Linked DNA regions of Tamandua tetradactyla. The protein of the gene in region 2 purifies or fractionates together with the protein of the main gene of each other region. This does not show direct contact. Links are inferred from orthologs where the notes say so. Each region holds a gene or a part of one and is shown on either strand. Other genes may lie near its edges.

What was found.
Region 1: the proteins of TARDBP (region 2) and G3BP1 purify together in Homo sapiens (affinity purification with mass spectrometry; 3 studies listed by BioGRID, with this or other methods). This does not show direct contact. The link is inferred for Tamandua tetradactyla from reciprocal best matches to the Homo sapiens genes TARDBP and G3BP1.

The regions. Positions count from the first base shown.
Region 1 is NC_135346.1:32,602,556-32,610,797, reverse strand, and holds the start of G3BP1 (ras GTPase-activating protein-binding protein 1), read right to left. Parts: upstream 3,016-8,242; 5' UTR 2,841-3,015; coding exon 2,634-2,840; intron 1-2,633. UniProt on the Homo sapiens protein: Protein involved in various processes, such as stress granule formation and innate immunity. Plays an essential role in stress granule formation.
Region 2 is NC_135328.1:214,373,635-214,381,072, reverse strand, and holds the start of TARDBP (TAR DNA-binding protein 43), read left to right. Parts: upstream 1-4,155; 5' UTR 4,156-4,233; intron 4,234-4,258; exon of another isoform or gene 4,259-4,916; intron 4,917-5,603; 5' UTR 5,604-5,617; coding exon 5,618-5,855; intron 5,856-7,116; coding exon 7,117-7,280; intron 7,281-7,438. UniProt on the Homo sapiens protein: RNA-binding protein that is involved in various steps of RNA biogenesis and processing.

The DNA.
Region 1 (8,242 bases), on a different chromosome or scaffold from region 2:
TGCTTAGTAAAGCCTGCTCTTGAGTTTTCACATGCAGATTATTTTTAGCTCTTCACCCAGTCTCCAAGTTTAAAAGTCAAATTTCTCTAACCAAGGCCAGACAGGGTATCTAAGAGGGCATTAAAAGAAAAAAAACCAGCAAACTGAATTTTGAGTATTTAAAACTATAAACCTAGTTAACTTCCAATGTGATTACTGACTAAAAGTTAGGTTACAGTTGCAAAATCTAAATTTAACTCCAGGCCTGGAAGGAGGAGTACAGCAGTTGGGTTTTTTTTTTTTTTTTTTTAATCTACCTACTTTTGACAGTGATGCCCTTTTGTAAGGTTTCAAGACAAGTCAGTAGGAATTTTGGTCCTAGGTAGCCTTAAACCACACATAATTAAATGAACACACAACGCATATTTGAACTCCTAAACACTATTTTTTAAAAACCAACCTAATTATAAAAAGTAAGGAAAACACCAGATAAGCAGTTTTGTAAAACTAGCGCGCACACACACAAGCCACAAACTCATGCTTTATATTAAATTTCATCTTTTAACATTGGCTCCCAAGTATCCTCTAAGAACTATATATAATTCCCAAACCTATAAAAAGTGAAAGCTAATCTCTGCTTTTTATGCTGACCTTTGGCTTTCTATACAAAATACTAAAACAAGTAAACAAAAAAAAAAAATTGCTAAGTAGGTTACCAACATGACCAAATCTTTTGAAGTTCCCTTAGTAGACTGTCAGCTGAGTGTAGGTTAAATAAAGGACAAAGACCTGCCTACATTTTTCTACTTGTTAGAAAAGTACAAGAGCTCAAATTTGAAAACATTTTTTAACTCTTAACAAAAATAACATGACTTGGGGAATAGGGAGACTCAAGTCTTGTATTACCACAACCTGCTTCAAAATTCACTTGTTCGTGATAAATTGATGCACAAAAGATCAACTGGGGTACCATTTGTAAAATATCATTTTTAAAATTTCTGCTCAACTAATAACCATTCCTCTGAGGGCAAGAATAGTACGTTTAATATTTAAAGGAGAAACTAACAAAATTCCCCTCAATGCATAAGGCAATTTCAGTCATTTTATCCCAAGCATTAATAAAATTAGTTGGACTCAAATTAAGTAGTCTAAATGTAGGTCATTATAGTATTCTAACATTTGATAACTAAAACTTAAATTTCACATCTTAACATGTCTTAAAATACTAATTTTGTAGTTAACTATTCTCTAAATGTAGGTCACAGGAATTGCTACATAAAATCATGCGACGTAGAACAATGTTATATTTCAAAGCAAACTGTTATTTGTGGCAACATCAACTAAAGGCAAGATCTTGCCTGTATACTTTGATCCTTTATCTATTGCTAGTTTCTACTAAGAAACATGGGAAACAGTAGTATCAATTTCCAGAGAGACATTTATTAAACTTCCTCCTTGTTTTTAATTTATTTACAAGGATATGCAACACTATGTGTTCCCTCTGACTGCAAAAACCATTTATTTAAAACACCAATCTTAAATGTATCTGGTCAAACATAGCAGGATAGATAAATTTCTTGAGAGAAAGAGGTAGATAGAAAGAAAACAAAGGAAGAGATAAAAAGAGAACAGTTTGAAAGCTATTCAATTCAAGCCTAGTTCAAAAGAGAGTCCTAAAAACTTTACTATAGTTCTGTCTCAAGCAGAGGCATTTATAATGCAAAGTAACGATGTGGACTTGAAACTTAGGAACATTTATTATTTCATTAGCCAAGGAGTATACTGGCTTCAAAAAAAATCTAATACAATTAATTCTACAAGAAAAATATAAACACATTTCCTTAAAGGCAAGGCAGGTAGGTGCCTTCCACTCTGCTGCATATGTGAGAGCCCAGCAGGGTAAATGCTAAATGCTGAATTGAATATAGGCAAGCAAGATTCCAACTGCCACAAGGGTATGACTTCCAGCACATCGCAATCACCGGTAATTCACTCAGTATTTTAAACTCCATCCAGCTCAAATTTATCCTGTAACTGGGAGTCGTTCTTTCCATTCCTATTTCAAATCTTAACCCACACATGTTGGTGAAATCTGAAACTCACTGGTCTAAACGTCATTTTCTTCAACTTTAAAACAAGGAAGTTAAACTATCTTCTCAAAGGTCTTTCTCAAAAGTTTGCTCCGATTTAAAAAAAGAAAAAGAAAAAAAATTCGTGTTCTGCTTAGCAGATTCTAACTTTCTGCTGGCGGGAATTTCCCATTACCACGTTGAGTTTGATACCTGACTAGTAACATAGTCCACCTTGATTTGCATTAATTCACTTTTTCCTACACTTTCCAGAAGCTGTTAGGACAGCACAGCTATAAACTATCTACACAAACACACGTAGAAAGGAAGCCCAGACCCCTTTTCTTTGTCATAATCCCACTTCCAGCCCTTGTCTGTCTTCCTGAAAGCCATTATGTGGCCTTAGTGCAAATGCCGCCGCAGTCTTCTCGGCAGTTGGCCTTTCCAAGCTGCGGTTGCATCCAGTGACCAGTGTTCTGGGTGCAAAGGTGACCTGGGACCGCAAAGAGTATTAGAGCAAAGAACAAAATGAGCTCAAGACTAGGAGTGAGACAGCTTGGATTCAAAAAAATAGCTGTCCCTTACCGTCCGTATCTCTGACCATGTCCGTCTACTTCTGCGTCTCAGAGTCCACCGTAAATTGCGGGAAATAACTGTATCTACCTCTTGGGTCGTTGTGAGAGTTACACGAAATGTATACGACCTGCTTAGAACAGTGCCCGGCACACAGCGAGGGGTACAAAGAATTCTCGGTGTTGTTAGCGCTATCCATACACGCGGCTGCTCCCTCATTACTCCTTGTAAAACCAAGGCGCAGCGGCACTTCTGCCTCGCAGGTTATCGCACTCAGCGTCGCCCCCACCTCTGAAGAAAAGTTCCCTCCTGGGCCAGGCCACGGGGCCGCGCGGGGCCCCAAGGACCCCGGAGATGGCCCCAGGCCCGGGCGGCGACTGCTGCTCGCTCCCGCCTCGCGTGGCCGTTGGACGCGGCACGCGCACGCGGCGGACGCGGCCCCGCGCGCCAGGCGCGGGAGCGGGGCGGGGAAAGGCCGCGCGCCCGTCCGATCGCCTCGCGTGCCTGCGGCCGTTGGGGTGGGGGTTGGGGGACGCGCCCCGCGCGGCCGCCGTAAGTGCCACTAGCGCTGCTCCCTTTCACACGGCCCCGACCCGTCCTCATCCTCGGGCGGCCCAGCCCCGCCCAAACCCCGGTGTACCTGTGCGGCTAAGTGGGAGAGGAACAAGCTTTGCTCCACAGCAGGGCGGATGGCAAGAAATCTCTCACGCAACTGCGTCCGCACACACGCGTGCTCCGCCGCCGGTCTATATAAGCACGACTCACCCTAACTTGTTGCGGCCAGCTCGGGCGAGCCGATGACCAATCCCTAATGCGTCCTCTGGTCTCTTCGAACCACAATTGGGTACTGACTCAAGGTGAAGGCGTGATTCTTGATTGGCTTTGACACTGGCCTATAAGGCTGTGAGGATCCGGTTTCCCTAGTAACGGATTGGCACTAAGAGAAACCAATAACTAAAAGGTACAGTGGAAAGGGGGGCGGAAGTTATTTGACCGATACCCATAGTAACCAATAAGTGCAGGGAACTACTCTCATTCGTTAAAACATCTTCCTCAGGGCGGAGATCCGTTTTCCAGGCAGGAGCGGTTGCTCCACAAGGTGGAGCCCGTGTACTTTGGGGAAGTAAACCCCAAGCAACTAGATGGTGGGCGCTGGGGCGTCCAAGGGAGACCCCCGGCCAATCGCAATGCGGAAAGGAGCTGATTGACGCGGGGCTTGGACTGCTCCAAGGCGACCAAGGCGACCAAGCCCTAGGGCCCGTGTGCGGCGCAGGGCGGTTGTAATCCTTTCCTGGCTCGGGCTTCGGGTCTTTCTTTCTCATTGCATGGTCCGGCCCCCGAGGCTTCCGCTCCCACCCTTTGCGCATAGCTTGATACCAGAGGAACAAAGTGGTAAAGTTTCCGGTTAGGTATTTTTTCTCCTTTTTATTGCAACTGTCTTTTATTTCCATGCAACACCCTGAGGATCCTCGCTGGCTCTTATAGTTAGTCGACATAATTGTTGGGCAACAGTTACAGGGAAACAAGAAGTAAGTAACTCCTGTTGTGTCTGTAAGGTAATACAAAAAGGTGACGTGTGAAACTGTTAAGTTTGAGAGCACAGATTTCTACCCCGTTGCCTCTTGGCAAGTGCTGCTGTTGGCCTGCCCAATCAGAGGCTCGTGGGTGTTTTAATCAGATTTTCCCTTTTTGTCGTTGCGGAGGAACGGTAGTTTGCAAATGCTCGGATCAAGTTTGGACCTTGATGCAACATCCTGTGCGTCACCGCCATTGTCATTCCTCTTTTAATTGCAGGGAGGCGGGGGTGGGGGGCGGGAGGAAATTTTGCTGTTTTCTTCGTGTCGTGGCTCCTTTAAAAGTTAAATTGTCAGACTCCTAGATGGACATTCCAAAGATTTTCCGAAATACTTAAGGGGCCAAGTGACGCCCCAGCCAGGTTCTGCCCCGGTCTCTTACCATTTTGTTGTGCCCTCTCTTGGTCACCATGAGCGTTTTATGTGGACATTTGTTGAGTTCCAAAGCGCAGACACGCCCCAGTAATTTCTCATTTCAGCCTTGTGCCCATCCAGAAGGGTCTCCCGTTAAGTTTTACTAAGAAAGTTGGAAGTGAAGTAAGTTGAGCGTCGTCTCTGTGGGAGGAGAGAAGACTGAGCTGGGCCGGCCCAGCCCGGGCTGGAAGGAAAAAGGGGCGCCCGCAGCAAGCAGCCTAGCGTGACTGGCCCTGTCCTCTTTGGACCTCCCGAGGCCAAGCCTGGCCGCGAAGACTGGAGACGCGGGGAGGCCACAGGAGAGATAGAAAGAGCACCTTCTTGGGGGTTGTGGTCCCACATCTGGTCCTCCAAGGTTCCGCTCCCGTATCAGCCTCGCTCATCCAGCATTTATTGAGCGGCATGGACTGGGGGTCAGGAATGATCAAGTCGTTGTCCCTGCTTAACCTCACCCATTCAGCAGACTGGGGCTCTGCGTTTGGGGCAGGAGATCCCAAGACGGAGGAACTGGCTGGCAGAGGAGGGAAATCAGCCTAGAGGAAAGAAGTGGCTGAAATTTTCTGAGCTAAGGAACCTCTAAGATCATGTAGCTCATAGTAAGGAATCCGGACTTTATTCTGAGGGCAGTGGAGAGCCCCTGGAGGATTTTTTAAAGTGGGCTAAGATTTGCATTTTACAAAGATGACACTCCAAACTGAAACTCTAGTGAGCCCAAATTGGCAAAAATTTACAGTCTGGCATCTACTGGATAAAGCTCAAGGTTGAGAAACTCTCCTCTAGGAGATTAATTTAAGTTCTCTAAGGAAAAGTCCCAAGCGTCCTTCTGCTCTTGATCTCCATTGCCAAGCAAATTCTACAATCCCCTCCAATATACTACCTCACTCTTCTCTTTCTGCCAGTCCTCCCCAAAGCTCTGAAAATCAGAGGGAGTGGAAGCATGCTAAGACCCAGAAAACTTAGTCTGATGGAAGAAGTGGAAGGGTGTGAGAAATATTAAAGAATGGCCCTTAAAACATCATCTGGATCAGTGTTTCGCAAACATAGCTAATAGTTTGCTAAGCCTTATGAAAAACGTGTGTGCGTTCATTTCCCGGTGCCTGCCTCATGAAAAAAAAAGTGTGTGCTGATGGCATCTATGGTCTGTGACTTTATCTCAATAAAATTGCATTAAAGCAAATGTGTGCATGTATGAGTCTTAACTGTTAAACTCTCACCTGTGGGTAAGAACCCAGTATAATAATATTCATTGCAACACTGTTTCTAGTAGAAAGAGGAAACAGTCCACATCTCTAGCAATATGAGATTGGTATAGATATAATACAACACAGTACACTCTTACAATGGACTGTTAGGCAGCCACACAGAAAACAAGATATACCTATATGTATGGTTATAGAATGATCTCTAAGAGAAATCAACACATGAAGAGAGCAAAATATAGAAGAAATATAGAAAAAAACATTTGTGTAAAAATGGAAGAGTAGCTATGAGGTGATTATTTCTTTTGATACACAGTGTTGCTATAGTTATTTATTTCTTTGATTTTGCTGTGTCTGCATAGGTTATGTCCGAAAGGAGTCTCGAGAAACTGTTACTAATTGCTAATAGGGAGGTAAACTTGGGCCAGGAAAGAAGAAACTCTTCCTTTCCATTCTATAAACTTTGGTACAGTAAAGTTTTGTTTGTTTGTTTGTTTGTTTTACCATGTGCATGTATTTTAAAAAAATTTAATACTGGCACAAGGAACTGCAAATATGGAAACTTTGATCTTTAAAACAAACCAACCAGGTGGAATGCCACACTTACCTTTGTAGGTTTTGAGGGTTTTGAAAATGAGGCTTCCTTCCTCCACTCACTGAATTCTTTTTTTTCCACTCCTTATTGTACAAAAAATCATACCAAGATCCAAACAGATCCTTATTAACTTGGAAATACATGCCTAACTGGATTACTTCCTCCTTTGGCACTGTCTGCAAAGGCTTCACTTCCTCAAATCCTATGGAGCACACATCATGAGCCTGGCACTTCGTTGATATTCTTTACAAAGATGATCTCATTTAATCTTCACAACAGCCCTATTTCCCATTTCTGAAGTACGAAAACAGGCTGAGACCAAATCAAAAGGGCAAGTCCTTCATCTTGAGGCTTGCTCTTGTGAAGCTTATGTATATAGCAGAGAAGCTTAGCCTACCTATCAGTATACCTAAGAGCCACGTCCAGAGGCCCTCTTTTGTTGCTCAGATGTGGCCTTTCTCTCTTTAAGCCCAATTGTGCAAGTGAAACCATTACCCTCCCCCCTATGGGGGACATGACATCTAGGGGTGGATGATCCCCAGGGATGAGCCTGGCCCTGGCACCGTGCAATCAACAATGCTGTCCTGACAAAAGGGGAAAAAATAAGGTATCAGTGGCTGAGAGTTCAAATAGAGTTGAGAGGCTACTTTGGTAGTCACTCTTACACAAGCTTCAGTTAAACATTGCTACCTTTCATAACTTGCCAAACCCCAATCAAAACCATTCCTGCCAATCCTAAAGAATACCTAGGGCATTTCATAAGATTCTACAAAGGTTCCACGCACTAGGGTAACCTTCCAAAACCTACAACCTCCAAATGGGTCCCTGGACCAGATAAGTCCTGAAATACAGAGGGGCCAGCCTTTCCAGAACATCAACTAGTTCCATTCCCCTATCTCATATTATTGATAGCCCTTTCAACATGAAAAAGTTAGAATGGGTATAGCCCAAATATCCCTAAAGAGTGGAAAAAAGATCAAAGGTGATGGTGGAGTTATACAGAGAAGGTCAGGTTTAACAAATGAGTATGAGTGCTGAATCATTATACTTGTTTCAGCCTCCAGTACCTTAGAGCAGCTAACAGTAAAAACCTAAAATTGTGGAATTGTAACCCATACCAAACTCTGAGATCTGTTCTACAACTAATTGTTGTGATATACTTTGAAATGTATTGCTTTTGTGTATATATGTTATTTTTAAAGAAGGAGGAGTTTAATAGAGAAGAAAGGATTTAGCAAATAAGTATGACTGCTGAATCACTGATATTTCCATTGGTCTCCAGTGTCTTGGAGCAGCTAAAAGAAAACACAAAAAATCATGGAACTGTAACTCATACCAAACCTTAAAATCTATTCTATAACTGCTTGTTAAAATGTACTTGGAAATGTATTGCTTTTTTGTATATATGTCATATTTCACAATAAAAAAAAAAACAGACTCAGAGAGGTTAAGTAACTTGCACAAGTTTACCCAGCTAGGGCTGGAAGCTAGGACTCTGACTTCGTGTTCTCTTACCCGCTCCTCAATCATCCTATTCAGGGAAGGAGGATAGTAGAGAAAGGGGCATGGTCTCCTCAAAAACTTCTGAAAGACTGCTATGTGCTCTTTATCCTTTCATGTGTAGCACTCGGTAATGCTGCATACAGAAATTTCGAAGTGGTTTGAGGATTTTGGAGCCCATGGCAAATCCTGGTAATCTACAGCCAAAGCTCTGCAAAAGGCTTTTTCCAGCACACTCTGATACTACCTATGAATCTAGAAGGCCCCACCTTCTGTGGTTTAGAAGACCAAATAACAATCATATTAATAATATGTTTCAAGCACCATGGTGCTAGGCAC
Region 2 (7,438 bases):
TTTGATCAATGTATTGTGGTTGTGTAAGAGAATCTCTTTGTCCTTAGGAAATACAAGCTAAAGTATTTAATTGATATCTGTGACTACCTTTAAATTGATGAGTTCAAATGTGTATGTCTGCATATGTGTGAGTGCGTGCCTACAGAGAGAAAGAGTGATAAAGCAAATGTGACAAAACACGAACAGCTGGTGAATCTGGATGAAGGGCACAAAGGAGTTCTTTGCATTTTCTTGGAACTTTACTCTTAAGTTTCAAATTATTCCAGAGTGAAACATTTTTAGAAAAATCTAAGTTAGACTTAGACCAGTCGGGGACACAGCTCCTAATCTGAGTAGGATTTGAAGGTATGGGAGTTAAGAGGAAATTAAATCTTGGGGAAATAATGTTATTTTGCCTTGATATTTCATTTCATTTTCAAAAATGCTTGCACAGCTCCCCTCCTGCTCGCCTTCTAGACCTGAGGGAGGCAATGGAAGACAAGGAGGTGTGGCTGAATGACGTTCCCGGACTCTGACTTGCTGTCCAGTGTGCTTTCTTCCCAAGTGAACCTCTTTCCTGGTCCTGTGCTGGAAGCCGGCTCCCCAGGTAGCTGTCAGGAGCTCCTTGGACTTGGAGCGTCTGTCTAGCTCTGGCCTCCTCGTGCTTTTTGCCTCCTGGGACTGTTTTCCAGCTGTTCTTCTATTGGGCTTCCTACCTGTCCCCACCCCTACCTGCATCAGACATCACTCCAGGGGTGGCCGATTTTCATCTTCCCTGTGTATCTTTCCAGGGTGGTTGTTCTAGTTTGCTAGCTGCTGGAATGCAATGTGCCAGAATTAGAATGGCTTTTAAAAAGGGGAATTTAATAAATTGTTAGTCTACAGTGCTAAGACCAAGAAAATGTCCCAGTTAAAGCAAGTTTATTAAAATGTCCAAACTAGGGCACCAACAAGATGTTACCTTCACTCAAAAAAAGCTGATGAAGTTCAGGGTCTCTCTCTCAACTGGAAAGGCACATGGTGAACACAGAGGCGTCTGCTAGCTTCCTCTCCAGGCTTCTCGCTTCATGCAAGTCCCCTAGGGGTGTTCTCCTTCTTCATCTCCAAAGGTAGCTGGCTGGTGGACTCTGCACTTCACTGCTCTCTTGGAATCAAAAAAGGGACTGTCTCCAAAATGCTTCTTCTTTTAAAGGATTCCGGTAAACTTATCCAGACCCACCTGGAATGGGTAGAGTCATCCCCCTCTGTTCAAAAGTTAACACCCACAATTGGGCGAGCCACAGCTATTGGGCAGAGATAATCTAATCAAGTTTCCAGCATACAGTGCTGAATAGGGTCCAAGAGAAATGGTTGTTCCCACAAAATTGGATTAGGATTAAAACATAGCTTTTTTAGGTACATAAATCTTGTCAAACCAGCACAGTGGTGTAGCCCAGTGTTAGGTATACAGAAGGAGCTCTGTAAGTCTTTCCTGATCCACTATTTCAGAAAGCTTTTAATGAAAGCTCAGAGGATAGGAGATGGGTATGAACAATTTTTTTTTGGTCCTTGTGATGGTCAGGTTCATGTGTCAACTTGACCGGGAGATGTTGTCCACTTATCTGGTCAAGCAAGCACTGGCCTAACTGTGACATTTTGTGGACTTAAATCATCAGTAAGTTGATTGTGCTTGCATGGCTGATTACAACTACAATCAACTAAGGAGAGTGTCTTTGGCAATGAGAGATGTTTCATACAATCAGTCGAAGGCTTTAAAAGGAGAAGTGATGACTTCAGTAGTCAGAAAAAAGAACTTTCATCTCCACTTCAGCCAACCAGCTTTTCCTGAGGGGAGTTCATCAAATACCCTCACTGGAGTGGCCAGCTTGCTGCCTGCCCTACAGAATTTGCACCTGTGCATCCCTACAGTTGCATGAGACACTGTTATAAAATCTCACAATATTCACAGATATCTCCTGTTCGTTCTGTTTCCCAAGAGAACCCCGACTGATAAGTCCTCTAACTATCAACAGGCTTAATGCGTATTAATTTTAGAAGAGGTATGAACACACAAGCCAACAAACCAAGAGAATTCACAAAATGCTCCATTTTGAATGAGTAGAACTTTTGACATGGGTGCTGTAAAGCTGAAACCCATGTTGTACTCAGGGGTGGGACCATGCTGTGGCCCAGCTCTCTCCTGGCCTTCCTGAAGGGGGTCTTTACATGTGCTGATCCTCTCAAGTCCCTTGAAAACTTCTGTAGGGAAAGGGTGGCCTTCATCAGTTTTGCCACTGTGTGACCTTTCCCCAGCCCCCGAACACCAAGTTCTGCCAACTGGCAGCAGCCCCCAAGAGGCACTACTTACACTAAGTCTCGATCTCGTCACTGAAAGTACCCCGGGGAGGTGGACAGAGCAGGCTTTAGTGTGACAATCCTGGGACAGCAATTTCACCCCAAGTGGCAGGATGGACTAAGTGAGGATGTAGTGCTACCTCCTAAGGAGGCTTCACATGTGAGTGACCATCAGGGTAAGGCAGGATGGAATAGGCCATCAAGGCTGTGGTCCCTGGTCTTCTATTCAGCTTCAAAAGAGTTAATACAGAGCTGCAAACTTCCTAGGACAAGAAATTCCCCTAAAGCCCTGAAACCTCCTCAAACCATTGAAACCTCCCCAAACCATAAAAGCTTGTAAAATCCTGGACCCAAAGCAAATTCTTAGTTAATGATAGGAAGCACAGGGCCATAAAGATTGTTAACCATATGCTCAAAGATAAATTTTAGGTATGTGACAACAAACCATGAATTCTCCTCCTAGAACAGAGAAGAGGCCTCCTGCCCAAAGGCCACCGTGGGAATCTGCACAAAGAAGACACCTGGTGCTCACAGGTTACTACGGAAACCTGCTACCAACAAGACATCCTATAAAGCAAGCTAAACCCCACCCACTCAGTGCCCCTCCCCTGGGCATGGCTGCATTAACCTCTCTAATATGTACTCTCTCCTTCTGTTTAATAAATTTACTATTTATTCTTACTGCCTTCTCTAAATTCTTTTAGCTGTGGGACCTGGAAGGGGGCTCAGGTGGCACCATTGCGAACCAGGTACCAGTTACAAAGGGACTTCTGTCCCTTGGAGGTGAGTGAAGGTCATTCATTACACCCCATTCCTGTTTCTTTTCCCTCCCTGGTCTTTCCAAATTGGTTCAGGAATACTCTGGTTGATATGAAAAGCAGGCATCAGAGATGGAATTGTAAGATTTACTGTTTGTCCCCTAGGAAACTGTAAGATGCAAGAAGCTGCAGAGTGCACCCACTTCAGAGCTTTGCTATCTGGGTTCAAATCTGGGCCCCAACATTTCCCACCAGCATGAACGTGGGCAGAATTATTGAATCTCTGTACCTAGGTTTCCTCATCTGCAAAGCAGGAATGATAATATTAGCACCTTCCTTATAAGGGCTGTTGAGAGGATTATACAAATTAATACATAAAGCATTTAAACCATGGTCTGTGTAAACCTTTGCTATTACTGCATTGCACTGAATCTGATACATGATCTTATTTTATGTAACACTAAGAAATTAAGTGTTGTCAGTTGAGCTTAACCTCCCCTTCCTCCCTCAGCCAACCTCCAAACCTAGAAAGAACTTTTGTTTCTAAATAATAGCAATAGAGCTATCACAAACATTATGACGTGTTATTAATTGTAACTGCATCTAAAATTTATACTGATTTCAGAAATGTGAAACAAATGTGTTCCAAAATAGATGGAACATAGTATAGCTGTGATTAGTGGGCTAGAGCTAGTGTCAGCATTCTATGCCTTAGGCACCCGGGTAACTTTATGCAAACTACCTAACCTCTCTGTGCCCCAGTTTCCTCATTCGCCAAGAATGTTCGGTGAGTTAAATATGTAAGTACTTAGAAAGTGCCCGGCCTAAGTAGACACTATCTGGCTTATTACTTAGAAACAAAGTTCTTCTTTCCAGGTTCGAAGTTTGGCTAGAGTAGGGAGGACAGTAAGCACCGAGTTGGCTTTTTAAACAAAGGAGGCCCTGTCCTCTCCCACCTCCCAAGTCGCCCAGGTAAGGAGAACCTGCGACCCCAGCCTCCGCCCCCACTCGGCCCCGCCCTACGGGGGCCGGCCCCGCCCCGCTCTTCCTGGCCCTGCCCCTAAGCTAGTCTCGCGCTCTTTCAAATTGCGCGAGCTCCAGCCGAGACCCAGGGTTGGCGGTTAGTTGGGCGAAACCATCCTCTACGCTACGTGGGAGGAAGGTAAAAGCCTACGCGCCCACGTTTTTTCAGTTTTTAGCTTTTCAAGTCCAACTGGTGATGTTATTTTAGACGAAAAGTACTATTAGCACGCGCAGACTCCAAAGAGGGAAGCTGACTAGCCGGAGAGAGGTTATTGTGTTTCTGTGCGGGGTCCTCCCCCCTGTTGGCGGGGATCCGGTGGGAGAGGATGGCGACGGGCGGGGGAAGGAGGCGGCCCTAGCGCCATTTTGTGAGAGCGAAGCGGTGGCTGGCCTGCTCTCGGGCCCGTCGGTGTTTTGGTTTACCTGTCGGGCTTCCTAGCAGCTTCCTGGAGGGTGAGTTGCGGACGCTTCCCACTGAGGACGCCCTGGATGGCGCTGCTTTCCTATTGGGGTGGCCTAGGCAGATGCAGAGGCGTCAGAGTCCGCCTGGGGAAGGGAGCCATGAGGCCAGGCCTCCCTCGTCCTGCCCGAGTAGGCTCGCGCGGGAGCGGCGTTGGGGGGAGCCGCGGGCCGGCAGCAGGCGCCAGTGTTGGGATGCTGGGCCCACGGGGCCATCCAGTATGAGGCGGAGTGGGTGTAGGGACCGTGAGTTGGCCTTTCTCCTGGCCCGGCCAGTGCTTTATCCCTTAGGCACTTGGCACTCGGGGGGACACTGTCAGCCCAGGCCTAGTACCCCTGCGGCTCCACCCCGGGACGCGCTTAAAAACTCCTCCCTCGGCGGTCACGCGCTGGCTTCTGGGAGGTGGCAGCGCGGATCCGAAGGACTGGTCGTAGCTGTTCCTAAGGCACAAGTTTGGAGAGTCCACGGAAGCCCTAAAACGAGGGACCGAAGGGAAGGGAACTTTTCTCTCTTCACCTAGCTCATTTCTTTTCGTTCAGTCTTCAAGTTTGAGCATTATACATCACTTTCTTAAGGAAACCTATTGTGGCATGCGTGCTCTTTGGCATACATATGCACACGCCTCAACCAGCTTTGATTCTCCCCGGCTTTCTCAGAGTTATTTACTTTTTTTTCCCGGTAGCATATGTATGTCTCGATTGCAACAAAATTACATGTTAACTGTATTTCTGCTGATTATTCCTACCCCTTTGTAACCAAGCATGCCACTTGGGATCGACTGCTTTCATAGTCCTAAAGTTGCAGCACCTGATGCAAAGTAGTTACTTACTGAATGAGTGAACCTAGGACGGTATCGTATTTTAATAGGAAATTGCTTTCCTTGTGCTTGCCTCATCTCTTAGTGATAACCGATAGGTGTAAGAATCAGAGCAGCAAGAATTTTTGTGGAAGTTGTAGAACCATAACCTGGTGATAGGAGTTTTCACCTGATTGTAAGAAAAGTGTTCTTCATGTGAGTGTTGGTCATTCATCTCTCTTTTCACTTTAAGAAAAATAAGAAAAGATGTCTGAATATATTCGGGTAACCGAAGATGAGAATGACGAGCCTATTGAAATACCATCAGAAGATGATGGGACAGTGCTGCTGTCCACAGTTACGGCCCAGTTTCCAGGAGCATGTGGTCTGCGCTACAGGAATCCAGTGTCTCAATGTATGAGAGGTGTCCGGCTAGTAGAAGGAGTTCTGCATGCACCTGATGCAGGCTGGGGAAATCTTGTCTACGTTGTCAACTATCCCAAAGGTTTGTTACCACTTGGTTTTACAATTATGCTGAAGTATGGTGAGGTTGTTTCTCATTCTGAGTCATCCATCATGGCCTCCGTTTATGGTGAAACATCTCCTATAATGTTAGTTGTTCCTCAAACTTTATTAGACTGCTTTGAGTGACAACTAGCCTAGATTAGTAAAAATTGAGAATTGTGGGGCATTTCTAGAGAAAAAATACTGTATTTTTTTAATCAGAACAAGTGTAAACCAGACTGGTGACAAATTTAAGAAACTATTAAAAACAATACAGTCTTCCAAAGTGCCCCCAGATTTGGATTTGGTTGGTCATTGCTCATACAGTCACATCCTTCATTCGCCTAATCTGACATCTTTTATTTTCCGTTAAGTGAGCATCAATTGCAGTACCTCAAATCTTGACTCAATCAGTGTTGGTCCTGGTCTTATTTCTTCTTGCTGCCTCTTCTCAGTGATGTTCTAAATTTAAGAAAAGTAAAAATGAACATTAAGAAAGCTATAGGTGCATTTTAGCAGCAGGAATGCACATATCTACATGGTAACTTTTATTTATAACTTGATATTGCAACAAGATTAGCCCATCAGACTTCTTCAAGATGGAGGACATCTAGAAAATTTTTAGAAGTGCAGTTCAGGTTTTCTTAGGTACGATTTTTAAACCATTGGCTATAGATTAATATTTGTCCAAATTTAAGATGTTACTCATATCCTAAAGATTACTTTTTTTAAAAAAAAAATGAGATTTTTTTAATTACAGAATTAATATGTTTGCATTGTGGAAAGATTAGGAAAGACAAAAAACTTAAAATTATCCTTAAATCCACGACTTGGAGATAAGAGTTCCTATTTTTTTGGTATATGTTCTTTAGGTTATAAAAGATATTTAGATAATTTGGCAAATATGTTTACTGTGTAAGCACAAAGATAGTATACTGGTTTTTAACCTTTTCTTTTTCCTGAGTTTAATGTTATTTTTAAGTCAAAGTGAGGTAATTTTGTTTTGATACACTTTTCCAGTAGGAGAATATGCAGTTATAGTCTTGTGAGTTGGGAATCCCTGAATTTACACCAGGAAAGTATCTCAGGCACTTATTCTAGGTCTTATTTTGTCCTTGAGAGCTAACATCATTTCTTGACAAAATTTTTCAATGTCTTACTCTTCTTGGATTTTTCCTTTTGCATTTCATTTCTAGACATAGAGGTGGTATGTTTTAAGACATGTTAAATGAAGTTTTCTGAGAGATTTCTGTTTTATTCAGATAACAAAAGAAAGATGGATGAAACTGATGCTTCATCAGCAGTGAAAGTGAAAAGAGCAGTCCAGAAAACATCTGATTTAATAGTATTGGGCCTTCCATGGAAAACAACTGAACAAGATCTAAAAGAATATTTTAGTACCTTTGGAGAAGTTCTAATGGTGCAGGTAAACTTCGATTTGATTTATCATCTTCTTTATTGATGAGTGAGCATTTCTCTTATTTTAGTGGCACTGTTTCATTTTCAGCAGATAATAGTATTTCTTGTATATATGCATAAGGGCCTGCTAAAAAGGATGTGGCATGCGCTGTTTTCCTTTATGCA